2 linked regions of the Mytilus edulis genome follow. The protein of the gene in region 1 purifies or fractionates together with the protein of each later gene. This does not show direct contact. Links are inferred from orthologs where the notes say so. Each region holds a gene or a part of one and is shown in the gene's direction. Other genes may lie near its edges. The genes, in order: nuclear factor NF-kappa-B p105 subunit-like and E3 ubiquitin-protein ligase RNF123-like.

What was found.
Region 2: the proteins of nuclear factor NF-kappa-B p105 subunit-like (region 1) and E3 ubiquitin-protein ligase RNF123-like purify together in Homo sapiens (affinity purification with western blotting; 4 studies listed by BioGRID). This does not show direct contact. The link is inferred for Mytilus edulis from reciprocal best matches to the Homo sapiens genes NFKB1 and RNF123.

What each region holds. Positions count from the first base shown.
Region 1 is NC_092352.1:47,167,438-47,174,594, reverse strand, and holds the start of nuclear factor NF-kappa-B p105 subunit-like, read left to right. Parts: upstream 1-3,940; 5' UTR 3,941-3,986; coding exon of another isoform or gene 3,987-4,005; 5' UTR 4,006-4,027; coding exon 4,028-4,061; intron 4,062-7,157.
Region 2 is NC_092344.1:2,885,417-2,892,718, reverse strand, and holds the start of E3 ubiquitin-protein ligase RNF123-like, read left to right. Parts: upstream 1-4,224; 5' UTR 4,225-4,390; exon of another isoform or gene 4,391-4,441; intron 4,442-6,596; exon of another isoform or gene 6,597-6,626; 5' UTR 6,627-6,632; coding exon 6,633-6,702; intron 6,703-7,302. Other genes in the region: rab GDP dissociation inhibitor beta-like, read right to left, coding at 1,150-1,257, 3,943-3,987. UniProt on the Homo sapiens protein: Catalytic subunit of the KPC complex that acts as E3 ubiquitin-protein ligase. Promotes the ubiquitination and proteasome-mediated degradation of CDKN1B which is the cyclin-dependent kinase inhibitor at the G0-G1 transition of the cell cycle.

The sequences.
Region 1 (7,157 bases):
ACCGTTTAGGAGTTATGGTTCTTGAAAGATTGAAAAATGGTGTTTCCAGTCATATCCATGCATTTTCTCATGAACCATTCAACCAAAGCTTTTGAAATTTTTATATGTTGTTACTGATGACAAAATAGAGGTCAAGTTCAATTATGACGATTTTGACTTTTACCGTTCAGGAGTTATGGTTCTTGAAAGATTGAAAAATGGTGTTTCCAGTCGTGTCCGTGCATTTTCTCATGAACCATTCAACCAAAACTTTTGAAATTTTCATATGTTGTTACTGATGACAAAATAGAGGTCAAGTACAATAATGACGATTTTGACTTTTACCGTTCAGGAGTTATGGTTCTTGAAAGATCGTAAAATGGCGTTTCCATTCACGTTGTTACATTTACTCATAAACCATTCAATCTAAGCTTTTCAAATTTTAACATGTTGATACTGATGACAAAATGGAGGTCAAATTTGATATTGATGATTTTCACTTTCATCATTCATCAGTAATGGTTCTTGTGATATTGCCAGGACACAAATAAATGTTAATAAATCCGGTTTGCTGTCGTTGTGACAGCCTCTTGTATTTTAATATTTTAATGAGTACTTACATGTATTGTTGCAAACTCCATTAGAAATTTAAATTGAGATTATTTTTGGAGTAAGGGGAAGGGGAGGTGAAAACAAATTGGAAAAAGGGGGGGGGGGTAAATAAGAATTTGTGGGGGGTTACACTTTTTCTCTCATTTCAGATTTTAGAAATAATAAGAAAATTTCTTCAAATTATTTTTTTAGGGCATTATTCAACAGCATACTCAATTGCTCAAAAGCAAAATTGAACATTGATTCTGGCACACTGACCTCATGACCAAACACATGTTGCCACATTCATCAAATTAAGAATCAATTTTTACATGTAGACAATAGTTAATTACCTGTACCTTAGAAGTCTTATCTACCTTAATTGATTCTTACAACATTATAAACCTCAGGGCAATCATCAGGTGTCTTGAATATAATTTAATTTCTGACAAGAAATATTACACGCGATATCACCCGATATGGCAATGTTTATAGTAACATTGCCAAAACAGCACAAGGGCATTTGAGGGGGGGGGGGGGGGGGGCAGAAGTCTAAGGGCACAAAGGCTGTAGACTGTAGCATCTTCTATTTGGGTTAACACAAACACTGATTATTTTTACTGCATGTGATTTCATTTACTTTTTCAGTTCTAACTTATGTGTGGGTAACTGTAACATGTGTACTAACAGTTATCTTTACCATGAATTTACATGTTTAAATGTTCAACAAATCACTATTTATGCATAGGCTTTTATAATGCTTGTTTACAGAATTAGTTTTAAAATCTTGAAAACCATGCACTTTATTACATGATTGGTTGCCATGACTTACATGTACATGTATATAGATTTCCCGTTGAAATAATACCCATAATTTTACATGTGAAATAAATGTGGTTATCAAAACAAGTTGTGAATTCTTAGAAAAAAAATATAGTTACTTACATTTTTATATGCCTGTTTACAGGACGTATTATGGTACCATTTGTTGTCTGTCCGTCCGTCCACTATCAACATGTTGGACATTAACTCCAAAAGACTTTAATAAATTTGCATAAAACTTTGCTTACTTTGGTGAATTGTTTATATCTATTGACACAAAATGTGTTGACATTTCTTACAATGAATTGAAATACATTGTTATGCAAGTCTGAGCAAAGCCTCTAAAGAGATATAGAGAAACTGTAATAACACCCTTATGTTATTGCAGGAATATATTTTCTGTTATAACATAGGTGTACTTTGCATGATTGGTAAACTATGAGCTGTTGCAAAGATTAGTATACTTACGTGAGCTCAATTTCTTTTTTTTTTTTATAAATGTTAGAATTATGTTTCCAAGTTATGAGGTTTTATTCATTAAAAAAGGGGGAAATTTCAAGTTTCTGATAATAACTGAAGAATGATTTCACCAACTTGCAAAAAATTTTGTCAAGTTGTTAATATCATAACATGAGCTCCCTTTTGATTTTTTTGATTTTAGATTTTTTAAGTTACAGGGTTTTGTACATGTTGTTTGCAAAAAAGATGAATTTTCCAGTTATCAGACAATTAGTCAAAAATACTTTAGCAGTTCTCATGAAACTTTTGTGAATTGTTTAAATATCTATTGATGTAAGCCCCCTTAAGAATTTTATAAATTTTAGATTTTACATTTCTGAGTAATGGGGTTTTATTCATAAAAAAGGGGGAATTTTTCAGTTTTCGGATGATAATAACTTACAAATACTTTCAGCAATTCTCATGAACCTTTGGTGAATTGTTTATCTCTATTAAAGTAAGCTCCCTTGTGATTTTCACAAATTTCTAATTTGGCATTGAGAAGTAATTGAACTATATTCTTTGAAAATTTGACAGGCCCTCACGACGCAGCTGCTTATTTAAATTTGTCATTTCATTTTATTTTTTTTTTAATGTTAAATGACCCATCAATGTACATTGGTGATAATATCTCAATTTAATTCCTTGTGTCAAAATGTATTTAGATGCACAATATTTTAAACAGGAGACAAAATATCACACCATTCAAAATGTTTAAATTATGCTTGGATATCAGAAAAAGCTATTTTTTTGGTAACACTAAATGAGGATTACACATGAAGACAAAATTTCAGTCCTACATCAGATTAAGGTATTTTACCGTGAAATTGTGATCATATATATACTTTAAACCCAGTACACCTGTTCATTATGATATAAATTTAAAAAACAATTGTAAGCCAAAATAAAAAGGGTAATACCCGGGTTTGCTGTTCATTGAACATGAAAATGTGATAGTGCTAGTTTGGAATTGTGTCCTATTAAGGTTTATTCTTGTTTATTTTGTGTTTTACTTTTACAGCATTCAGTAACCTGAAAAAGGCAAAAGGGAAATTTGTGAGCATGTAAAATTGTTAAAACGCACCTTTTTTTTTGTGCCTGTACCAAGTTTGACTATAAAGAATATATATATATACAAGTATGCTTCTGGAGAATTTTGAGGAGTGCCTCTAGCAGCTTCATTTCAATCATGTGTTTTTAATATGCATTTTGCATTTTAAAAAAAATGCATTTTTAATCTAAACACTAAAACATGCATACCAAAGCTTTTTTTTAAATGTTCTCCTTGTTGGTTTGTTTAAGGTGGTACCCAACACTTTAGCTAAAATTAATTTGGGTCATTTAATTTTCTCAAAATTTTGACAAAGTATTTACTTTGACCCTTTTACAAAAATATAAAAATTTCAAAAAATTTGAACAAACCGTTTTGTCAGAAAAATTACACTGGTTATATAGCAGTTTGACAAACACTTATTTTGATCATTGAGAAGCTTAATATTCCCTTAACAACACAACGTAATTAAAACGTTTAGCTGATTTTACAGAGTTATCTCCCTGTAGTGTTAGGTACCACCTTAAGCCCCATTCCCAAATGTTTCTGTCCTTTAGCTAACTTTGATTTACTTCAACCAAATGATATTAAAAGAATACACAACACATATTTGCATAGACACAGATCAAGTTCAAATTTGGGTGGCGTCACTTCTACAGTTCTCAAGTTAGTTACCTTTATAATGTATTATGCATGTTGGGGCATCATCTGTGTCTTGTGGACACATTCTCAATTTATTTAACTTTTATTTTTCTCTACTGACAATGACTGAGTTTTTGATAGATGAATAAGTTAAACTATTGTTAATTATAAGAAACTAATTTATTCCCAAAGTTTAAAAGACACAAAAAAGAGGACGAAGACTCATTTTACATGTAAAAAACAGCCTTCAAAGGAAGAACAAACATTTTGCAATACCTTATTGACGAAACACTGAAATAAGATAATTAATGTACTTTAAATACCATATATACAAAAATTGGAAAGGCCCAAAAAGTTATATTTAGGACTATAAGCTTAAAATAGATTGAATGTAGGAAGGAAGATGATTAGGAAGTTGATAGGTAAAGTTACGCAATAATAATCATGCAGATTGAAGAAAGGCATAAGTCGCCATTAGGTAAGAGGGAGGGGAGGGTTAGGCACCTGCAAACTTTTGTTTTACCCTCCCACATTCTTTATGTCATGTATGTGCCTGTCCAAAGTTAGGAGCCTTCATTTGTGGCTGTCTGTTATACTTGTTTTTCTATGATTGTTTCGTACAAAAATTCAAGCCGTTAGTTTTCTCATATAAATTGTTTTATATTTGTCATTTCTGCATCTTTTATAGCTTGCTATGCGGCATTGTTATGCTTATTGTTGAAATCCACATGGTTACCTATAGTCATGATAGTTGTTAATGTGTACTTGTTGTCTTCTACGTCTTTTGGTCTCTGATGAAGAGTTGTCTCATTTGTAATTATAACATTTCTTCTTATCTTTACAGAACAAAAAAGGGTTATAATTTCATAGAATTGCATTCAAGTTACTGTAATAACAGATTACGTAAACTACTCATTGATGCCTTTTAAAACACTATATTGGTAGGATCTGTGATATATAAAAGCTCTGCTATAACATGTATATTTCTTTTGTGCTGTGAGACGATTTGATTTTTGTTAAAAGTTAAATTGACATAAAATAAACGTTATAGTAACCTATAAGATAGATAACTTAACAAATGATAAGAAGATTCCATTTAAAAGGACATTGTGACTTGTGTGTGTTTTTCTGGAAAAGATATAGTGAGCTGATTGTATGACATGAAGTATACACTCTATTGTATAATTTTAGTTCCTTATGTGGTTAAAAGGTGAATAAAGATTTTTTTTGTTGATATAAAGTCAATAACAGGTTCTGTCATGTATCTTATCCCGATAGGTAGCTATAGACAATCATATCAAATACAAAGTCACATCACTTTTTGAATAAATTATATAATTTGAAAGGTAAAATGCACTGTTCAATGCAGTTAAATTAAAATTAATCCAAACATGTTTTGTAAGTAGTCTTTTGTTTAAACTAGATCAAAACTATGGAAATGAGGAAAATCTCTACTAGAACAGGGAACTGTTTTATTAAACTGGTACTCAGTCTTCAGTTTTGAAATTAGTTTCAAGTTTTAACAGCCTGGAATATATAAATTCAATTGAAAGCTTTTATTTAAACTCAGTCTTGATTACGTCAGTCTTAAAATGTAGTTCAAGTAGGAGCTAGAGCTAGGCTTCTGGTTATTCTCTAGCATTTTGTCCAGGGTTCTAAAAGGAAATTGATATAAGACCAAAAATAATTTCAATTTTACCTGTTGTGTGAACCTGAAGATATGAACACTGTAGTTGGTTCTTGTTGAGATTGAAAATAAAATATAGAGAAAATTTCAGTAGTATTATACATGTTATATAATTAAACAAGCCATAATTTAAAAGAAAAGGAAAAAAGAATATATTGTAGGAGAACCAGTTAACAAAATTTTACTACAGAAATTATCACTAGAGAAAGGGCGTGCAAATGTATTTGGTGTCCATAAAAAGAAGAAAAAAAATTACTGCAGTTTTACAAGTGCCTACATCAAATACAATGTGTTTCATTATTTTTGATAGAATTGAATACTGGTATCAGCCTTTCAAAAACAATAACTTAATCACATTGTCATCTTTGTTTAAAGATTCTGATGTTCAATTGTTTTTTGGGGTGCAAATATCTTTTTCAATAAGGGTATGTGACCTGTCTTGTTAATCCAACCTTTTCATGTCCTGCTGTAGACTTTGCATTTTTTACCTCAAAGTCCTCTTCTCTGATAAGGTCTGTTTTTTTGGTCCTGAGTTAGTCATGGTAATGGTATTCTGAGACTGCTCTGATGTCTGACTACCTTTTCGGGACTCTCTCGGGCCATTGTCCCACGGCCCCAGCAAGTCCTATAAAGAGGCTGTAAGACTTCAGAGCAATCTCTGACTAGTTCCATGAATCATTGAATGTCCTTTACATGTATATTAGGCTTTTCTGTATAGTATATGTATATATATATATTCAAAAAACGTTTCTTTTCAAGCGGTGTACAGAATGATATATTAAAAATTAAATACACAAAAAGAGTTTTAAAAGCAGCATTGTCTAGCGCTTTCATCAATCTTGGGACTTTTCAAGACTATGAACGTTGTTATGGGGAACACATTAGTATTATGACGTAACGTCATTGTTCATAACATATAAAGTAGTATGACACGATGTTATTGTTCATGTAACTACTAAGCATTAAGCTTGTGTTCCCCATAGCGACATTCATAGTCTTGAAAAGTCCCAAGATTGATGAAAGCGCTAGACAATGCTGCTTTTAAAACTCTTTCGTGTATTTAATTTTTAATGTATATATATTTATATTGAAGTTTCTTTGATATTCCATTGTATAAAATATGATGAGATATTGATAACAGAAAGATATGGTCCTTAAATGTTACTTTTGTTGAATCAAAATTTTTAACTTCCTCTTTATCTGAAATATCGTAGGCGTGATTATTAAAGAAGTAGCCCAGCATAGGTTAGTGGAATGTATCGTTTAAGTATTTAGGAACAGGAAATAAAAAAAGATATCCTCAATAAATGTATGAGATGTAAACTGAACTAAAAGCAATACATTGAATTATCTTTGAGATTTATATTGTACAAATATGGTTGCCGTTTATTTTTTCCTTTTGACTGCTGTTTCTGAATAAATAGCAAATAAAAGAATAAAATGTTTATGGCCAGCAACTGTGTCAGAAACTTTAAAGGTAAATAGATTTATACCAGCAATCTCATGTTAGACATCTTGACATTATTTACTCCTGTTTATTTTTGTCTATAGAAAGTAAATGAAGGAAATTAATTTTCAACATTGCTGCAGGCATAAAAACAGATACAAATGTATTTAGAGTGAACATGGTGTATTTTATTGTGTTTACATGTTTATTTGTATAATTTTTGTGTAAAAAGTAAGAAAAATTGTTCGTCTTACTCAGTTTTTAAACAGGTAAATTCTTTAAAAATTATTAATCTGTTAAATTATTTTACTTGTTAAAATTATTTAATATATGTTGAACATCATGTTTTTTTAACATCCTGAAGATTTTTTTGGGTTATTAATCATTACACATGTAAATTTAAATCCATAACTTATTGTTTTGTATCATCAAATATCCTG
Region 2 (7,302 bases), on another chromosome or scaffold:
CAGCATATCAAAGAACCTAACTGATTCATTTTTTGTCAAAATCAAACTAAGTTTAATTTTGGACCCTTTGGACCTTAATGTAGACCAATTTGAAAACGGGACCAAAAGTTAAGAATCTACATACACAGTCATGACAGTTAGATTCGGCATATCAAAGAACCCCAATTATTCAATTTTGATGAAATCAAACAAAGTTTAATTTTGGACCCTTTGGGCCCCTTATTCTGTTGGGACCAAAACTCCCAAAATCAATACCTTCCTTTTATGGTCATAAACCTTGTGTTTAAATTTCATAGATTTCTATTTACTTATTCTAACGTTATGGTGCGAAAACCAAGAAAAATGCTTATTTGGGTCCCTTTTTGGCCCCTAATTCCTAAACTGTTGGGACCTAAACTCCCAAAATCAATACCAACCTTCCTTTTGTTGTCATTAACATTGTGTTTAAATTTCATTGATTTCTATTTACTTAAACTAAAGTTATTGTGCGAAAACCAAGAATAATGCTTATTTGGGCCCTTTTTTGGCCCCTAATTCCTAAACTGTTGAAACCAAAACTCCCAAAATCAATCCCAACCGTTCTTTTGTGGTCATAAACCTTGTGTCAAAATTTCATAGATTTCTATTAACTTAAACTAAAGTTATAGTGCGAAAACCAAGAAAATGCTTATTTGGGCCCTTTTTGGCCCCTAATTCCTAAAATGTTGGGACCAAAACTACCAAAATCAATACCAACCTTCCTTTTGTGGTCATAAACCTTGTGTTAAAATTTCATAGATTTCCATTCACTTTTACTAAAGTTAGAGTGCGAAAACTAAAAGTATTCGGACGACGACGACGCCAACGTGATAGCAATATACGACGAAATTTTTTTCAAATTTTGCGGTCGTATAAAAATTTAATCCAAATACAAAAATATTCAACTTAATAAATACATGTATGTTAATTCATTAAACCATGTTTTAAGTAATCTCTACTGCACTTTACAGCAAAAAAAACAACTCACAATGATTGTTATTTTTAAATTAGACTAAAAGGACAAAAATGTGAGGCTACAGACATCAAAAGCATAACACCATTCTTAATTGGGCTAATGAGACCACTGGTCAGATATCATATTGAGTAAACGGTTCCCACATGAATACTTACATCTTCCAGTGGTGTGATTGATGCACTTTCACCTCCATAATAAGAATTCCTATCAATGTGAAGAACTTTCTTTCCCATAACTGACATCATACCACTTATGATACATTCCTAAAAAAAAAAGAAGTTAAATTCATGTATAACTGGTAAGATGGTAAAATCTGGCAAACAAACAAAAAATAGTTTCTTCCAACATTATTAATTTTCAATTGTTATGCTTTATGTTTTATTTTTATCATTTGTCATGTACATGAATGCTGTATATTTGGGTTACACCAAGTCATATTTATTATGTGCTTTATCCTATATAATATTTTATTTGATATTATGGAGCATGATTTGTCTGTTACATATACCGACACAGAATAGATGTTTGAGACTATACATGTATCCTCGTCTCATGGGTTTCTGTGCTATTAAGAATGCATTGTGACATCACAATTTCCATTGAAAAAGCATGCATAGTAGAAGTAAGAATTCATATGACGTACAAAAACATGATCTGACCATACCACTTGGCAACCAACAGTAAAATATTTAAGCAGTTGTACATACCTGTCAACCTGTGACGATGAAAATGCAGGTCATGACCTGCATTGAAGAATCAAATCTCAGGTCATAACGCGTACGAACTTTTTCGAGCTGAATTTCAGTATTTATGGTACATTTTCTTATAATGTATATCAGATACCAAAACATCAATGCATGTTCACTTTGTTAAGTCATTTTAAATCTTATTAAATATTATTTCATTGCACATTTAAAGATTTTTATAAATTTGTGTAACTCAGTCTTATTTACTTTATGAGAAAAAATACTACAACCATCAAACACTAGAATTTAATGCAAATCTTAAATGTTTGAGACTATTGACTATGTAGCCTTGATCCATATTACTTTTTCATTTACCAAGGAAATTAGACTATGATAAAATATAGTAGTACAGTTAAAGGAAGTATAAATGTAAAAAATAATTTTCAACTTTTTTTAAAAAATTGTATAAAGGTATAAAAATAATGAAAAGTTATTTTTCAATATGTATTTGAATTTTATATTTTTATGATTTAATCTTTTTCACCCATAAAACGTAAATATAAGGAATAATTTTGAATGGTGACAAATAAGGGGAAGTAACTCTAGTTCAGTTTGTAAACCAATGGTGCAATTTATTTTACGACCTAAAGCTAAGGTAATTGGTGTTAATTAACAGTGTGTTTGACATCAAAGCTGTCAAGTGAAGCCATGCACTTAATGGGTCACTTAATTTGACAGTTTACATAGCTAGATCAACTTCCTGTTCATGGAAGAATTACGAATTTGCCAGTATTTCAAAGGAATATTACTAATGAAATCAATCTCAAGGCTAAGAAATACGGGTGAAATCGGGTCATTTTCGGAATTCCCGGGTTATTTCAATGACCCGGCGGGTGTTGTGAAAATCTTGGGTCACACCTGCAGAATATGGGTCAGTTGACAGGTATGGTTGTACAAGCATAAATTGTAGATAACCAGATAAGATACTTCATTTGAAAGATTATTTTTTAAATGACAAAAAAATTGTTACGGTTACAGAAGCTACAGTTGTACTGCTTATTAAGAATTAGTATGGTTTGGTACAATCAGCATGATCAGTAACAATGTAATATATTTTTACTGAAAAAACTATCATACAAGTGGAAGTTTGATAAAATGTAAAATTTAAGCTGTAACAATCATAGACTCTCATAAATTTACAATGTTCACATTACTACATGTAGGTTAACTGTCAATACACAGCAGCGAGCTATGTGGTCTTTTTCCTCTGTAAATAGTACTAAATACCAATGTCACTCTAATATTTTTTTGTCAGTTAATTGTCTCAATACTGTATGCAATAACCATTTAATGCAAATGAACTAGTTCAAATTAATATTGTCTATTAAATTCATGTTATTTTATGTTAATTTGGACATAAAATTGCGACTGTCATACAAGTGAGAGGTTTAGCTAGCTATAAAACCAGGTTCAATCCACCATTTTCTACATTAGAAAATGCCTGTACCAAGTCAGGAATATGACAGTTGTTATCCATTCGTTTGATGTGTTTGGACTTTTGATTTTGCCTTTTGATTTTTGATTTTCCTTTTTGAATTTTCCTCGGAGTTCAGTATTTTTGTGTTTTTACTTTTTGTTATTGATAACTTGTTTTATTTTTATGACAATCATGACAATGTCCACTTGATCTTAACCAGATTTAAGTCTGTGTCAACTTAAATCAGAAGTGTCAGCTGTTTATTGAATAACTCCTTATAAAAGTAAACCATAAAGATGCTGACTCTTATACATGGAATGTATTGATTATTTGATTTGTGACAATATAGAGTAAGGGGGTGTGGCTTTTAATTAAAAAAAAATAATGTTAAGAGACATTCGAAATTTATTTATATCAAGCTTTAACTGACATATTTAACAGGCCTATAACATTTTATACATAAATCAGAGTATAAAAGGGCTTCTAATTACTGAAGCTTACAAAAATCAATACACCAAATGTATGTCGGCAGATCAGACTCCGCAGCTTTATTAGCGCTAGTTTATTATTAAACGGATTCTGAACATTTTCGCAATTAGATTGATCAATATAATATATCTAGCAAATTGTACATTTCATTTTGTGTATTGTAACCAAAACACATGATAATTTCAGTGATGACATCACACAAGACTGATGATAGACTGTTTTCTGATAACGACATTTATTACAAGAATTTATGTCTTTTTACACGTCTTATCTATTTGCTTAGCAAACGCTTATACCTTTAGTCCTGTTCCAAGAACAATAACATCATATTCTTCATCCATTGTGAATATTCTTCGTGAGAATGGTTTCAATCTGCTGATAAATACACACACCGGCGAAAATGGCCTCCCACGCGTAGTAATCTCAAAAGCATTATAATATTTGATATTTTCTTATTTTTTGTCTTTGCAATAGATAGATTAACATCCTTAGTTCAATTTTATTCTGATCCTTAAAATGGTTTGTTCTTTGCAAGTCGAATATTTATGCTGAAATGGATTTGAAAATAGTACTTCAGACGTAACCATTTCCGGTTAAATAAATTTGAGTTGTTAGGCACTTCCTGGTTCAAATCACTGGTCAAGTGTACCAAAACAAAACAAAAATAGGGTGATCTCTGCAAGAATATTTTAAAATGAATAGACTTATGACAACTTGATATTTATCAAGCCACATCTTATAGTTGTATGTTGACAAATAGTTTTCCATTATTTAGTAAATTTGCGTCGTAAAGTTGTGATATATTTAAAGTCCAAACAAAATTACTGTTAGTGTTACAGTTTAGCAGACGACGTGATGTATTTTGATTAAATTAGGCCAACATTTGATATTTTGCATGTTAAGTGTGCCTGCAAAACAAAACAAAAATAGGGTGACTGCAAAACAAAATAAGGAGGGATCAGGTTTTCCAAGTTTTCGTAGGCTTGTAACTTCTCAGTAAATCGAGATTTTCGATGAGTATGTGCCATTTTAAATAAAATTCTCAGTTACGAAAATTTAGTTTTTTAGCACTACCAAATGGTAACTCAAATGAACGACCCCATTTGGCGGGTTGTCCCCAATCTGTCCAAAGATATCATATGACATATAATCAAAAACACCACAATCCGGTGAAAAGAAAATTAAGGGACAATAGTCAATATACAGTCTTCATATAAAGGATAGTATTTAATTTCTCATCATGCTCATAGTGCCCAAAGCTAAAATAAATAATAATATTCATTATACATACAATGATCACAACCATTCTTTAAAACAATTGGTGCAAAAAAGATCAACATCAAAGCAATTAAAAATAAAAATGTCAATAGACTAATGTCTATTCAACATGTCATTGACCAGAGATTAATTTTAACTAAGTGTTTGTGTTTGAGACTATATATCTTGGATACTAATTGCAACAGGTCTACACTAAAGTTTGAATTTTGTTCGTTATTTAGTACATAAATTAGGCCAGTAGTTTTCTTGTTTAAATAAAATGTTATAGCTGCATGACTATGTGTAATGGGATTTGCTCATTGTTAATGGCCGTACCGTGAACTATAGTTGTTAATTTCTTTGTCATTTGGTCTCTTGTGGGGATTTGTCACATTACCAATCATACCACAGCTTCTTTTTTATATTGAAAGGTGTACATGACATGTACAATATCAGTTTGACTGGGTTCATTTGAACATGGCTTGACCTCATTTTCATGTCATATCATGGTTTATTGGTCAACATTCAGATACATGTACTATAAGCCATAGGTCAACTATAGTTAGTTTAAGTGTGTGACATGACTGTGAGGTGTTGATATATGTCTCGGGGCAACCATGAAATTCAAATTGAATAATTGTCTCTCTATATATATTAAATGCCAGTATGGGTAGTAGTGGCCAGTGGTTCTGAGAAAAAGAGAACGAGGAAGTTTTTAATGACCTTGATTGGCTATACAGCCCTTGCAGTTGCACGGTCTGTCTATCTATATCTTTTATATATTTTTTAACCAATTTGCTCTATTCTTATTTTCTTGCCCAGGGTTTTCTATTCTTTACTGTTCATCACCCCTTTAAACTGTTTTCTACATTTTTCTGTCTCTTTTTTTCTTCTAATCTTTACTTGTTTGCCCATTTTTCTCTCAACTATAAACCACTTTCATGTACATTCCAATTTATTCATGATAATTGAAAGAAGGATTTTTTAGACAAATTTTTTGTCATTCAGTTTTAAAAAAATTATTTCTTTATATTATTGAAAAAATAGTTAAATTGTTGTTGGATAAAGTCCTTGCTCTTTCTGTACCATTTCTTTAAAGACTGATTTTAGATGGTCATGCATTTCTTTCCCTATCAGCATATTTTTTACATGTCAATCCATCTTAAACCTGCAATATTGTATAAAATTAAAAAGACAATTTTTTTAAATGGGAATGGAAATGAGGTATAGAGGTCAAAGAGACAACAACCTGACCAAAGAGCAGAAAACAGCTGATAAGCATGTAAATGTAGTTACAGTAATGAACATTACACAGATTTAAATACTATGTATACACTCATCATGATTAAGTTTTCATAAATCATGCATGTAACTTTATGTTGAAGCTGGGGTTTGAGAAGTCAAATTAAGCTGTGAATAAATCGCAGCTCTAGATAATCAGACTCAGTAGCAATAAATGTTATAAACGATTTTGTTGATCTCAACCTGCCACTGTTTAGTGTATGAATTAAAGTATTCAAGGTTTACAATTGTACATGTCAAAGTGCATCTGACATTGACACACATAGGGATAGATGATAATGTTAAGCTTGTGTGTTAGCTGTTTGAATCTTTCTTAAGCCTTTCACTATAAAATTTAAGCACGATCAGTAAAGCAGCTTATTCACATATTGAATTGTGCATGATAATATAGTTGTCTGATTTTGATACCTTTTATTTACAGGTGAAAATGGCTGAAGCAGCATACAAGGGAGGGATATATGTCAGATCAGAACAAGATCAGGATACTGGTTCAGAAGGTAGAATAAGAACTCAAATAAAATAACTCTGTATAAATTTTGTGTTAGTTAAATTATAAAGGATATTTATGCAATGTATTCTGAATTATATGATATTTTAGTTCTATAGATAAAGTTTGCATTTTAAGCTCACCTGGCCGGAAGGGCTAAGTGAGCTTTTCTCATAAAAAAATGTGTCCAGTGACCTGGCTAACCAACCAAGATGGCCGTCATAGCTAAAAATAGAACATAGGGTAAAATGAAGATTTTGGCTTATATCTCTGAAACCAGAGCATTTAGAGCAAATCTGACACGGGGGTAAAATTGTTTATCAGGTCAAGATCTATCTGCCCTGAAATTTTCAGATGAATCAGAGAACCTGTTGTGCTGCCCCTAAATTGGTAATTTTAAGAAAATTTTGTCGTTTTTGTTTATTATCTTGAATATTATTATAGATACAGATAAACTTTTAACAGCAATGATGTTCAGCAAATTTAGATCTACAAATAAGTCAACATGACCAAAATGAGTTATTGCCCTTTATAGTCAATTTTTTTACAATTTTTTTACAATTTTTGTTATCTTCTAAAAAAATCTTCTCCTCTGAAACTACTAAGACAA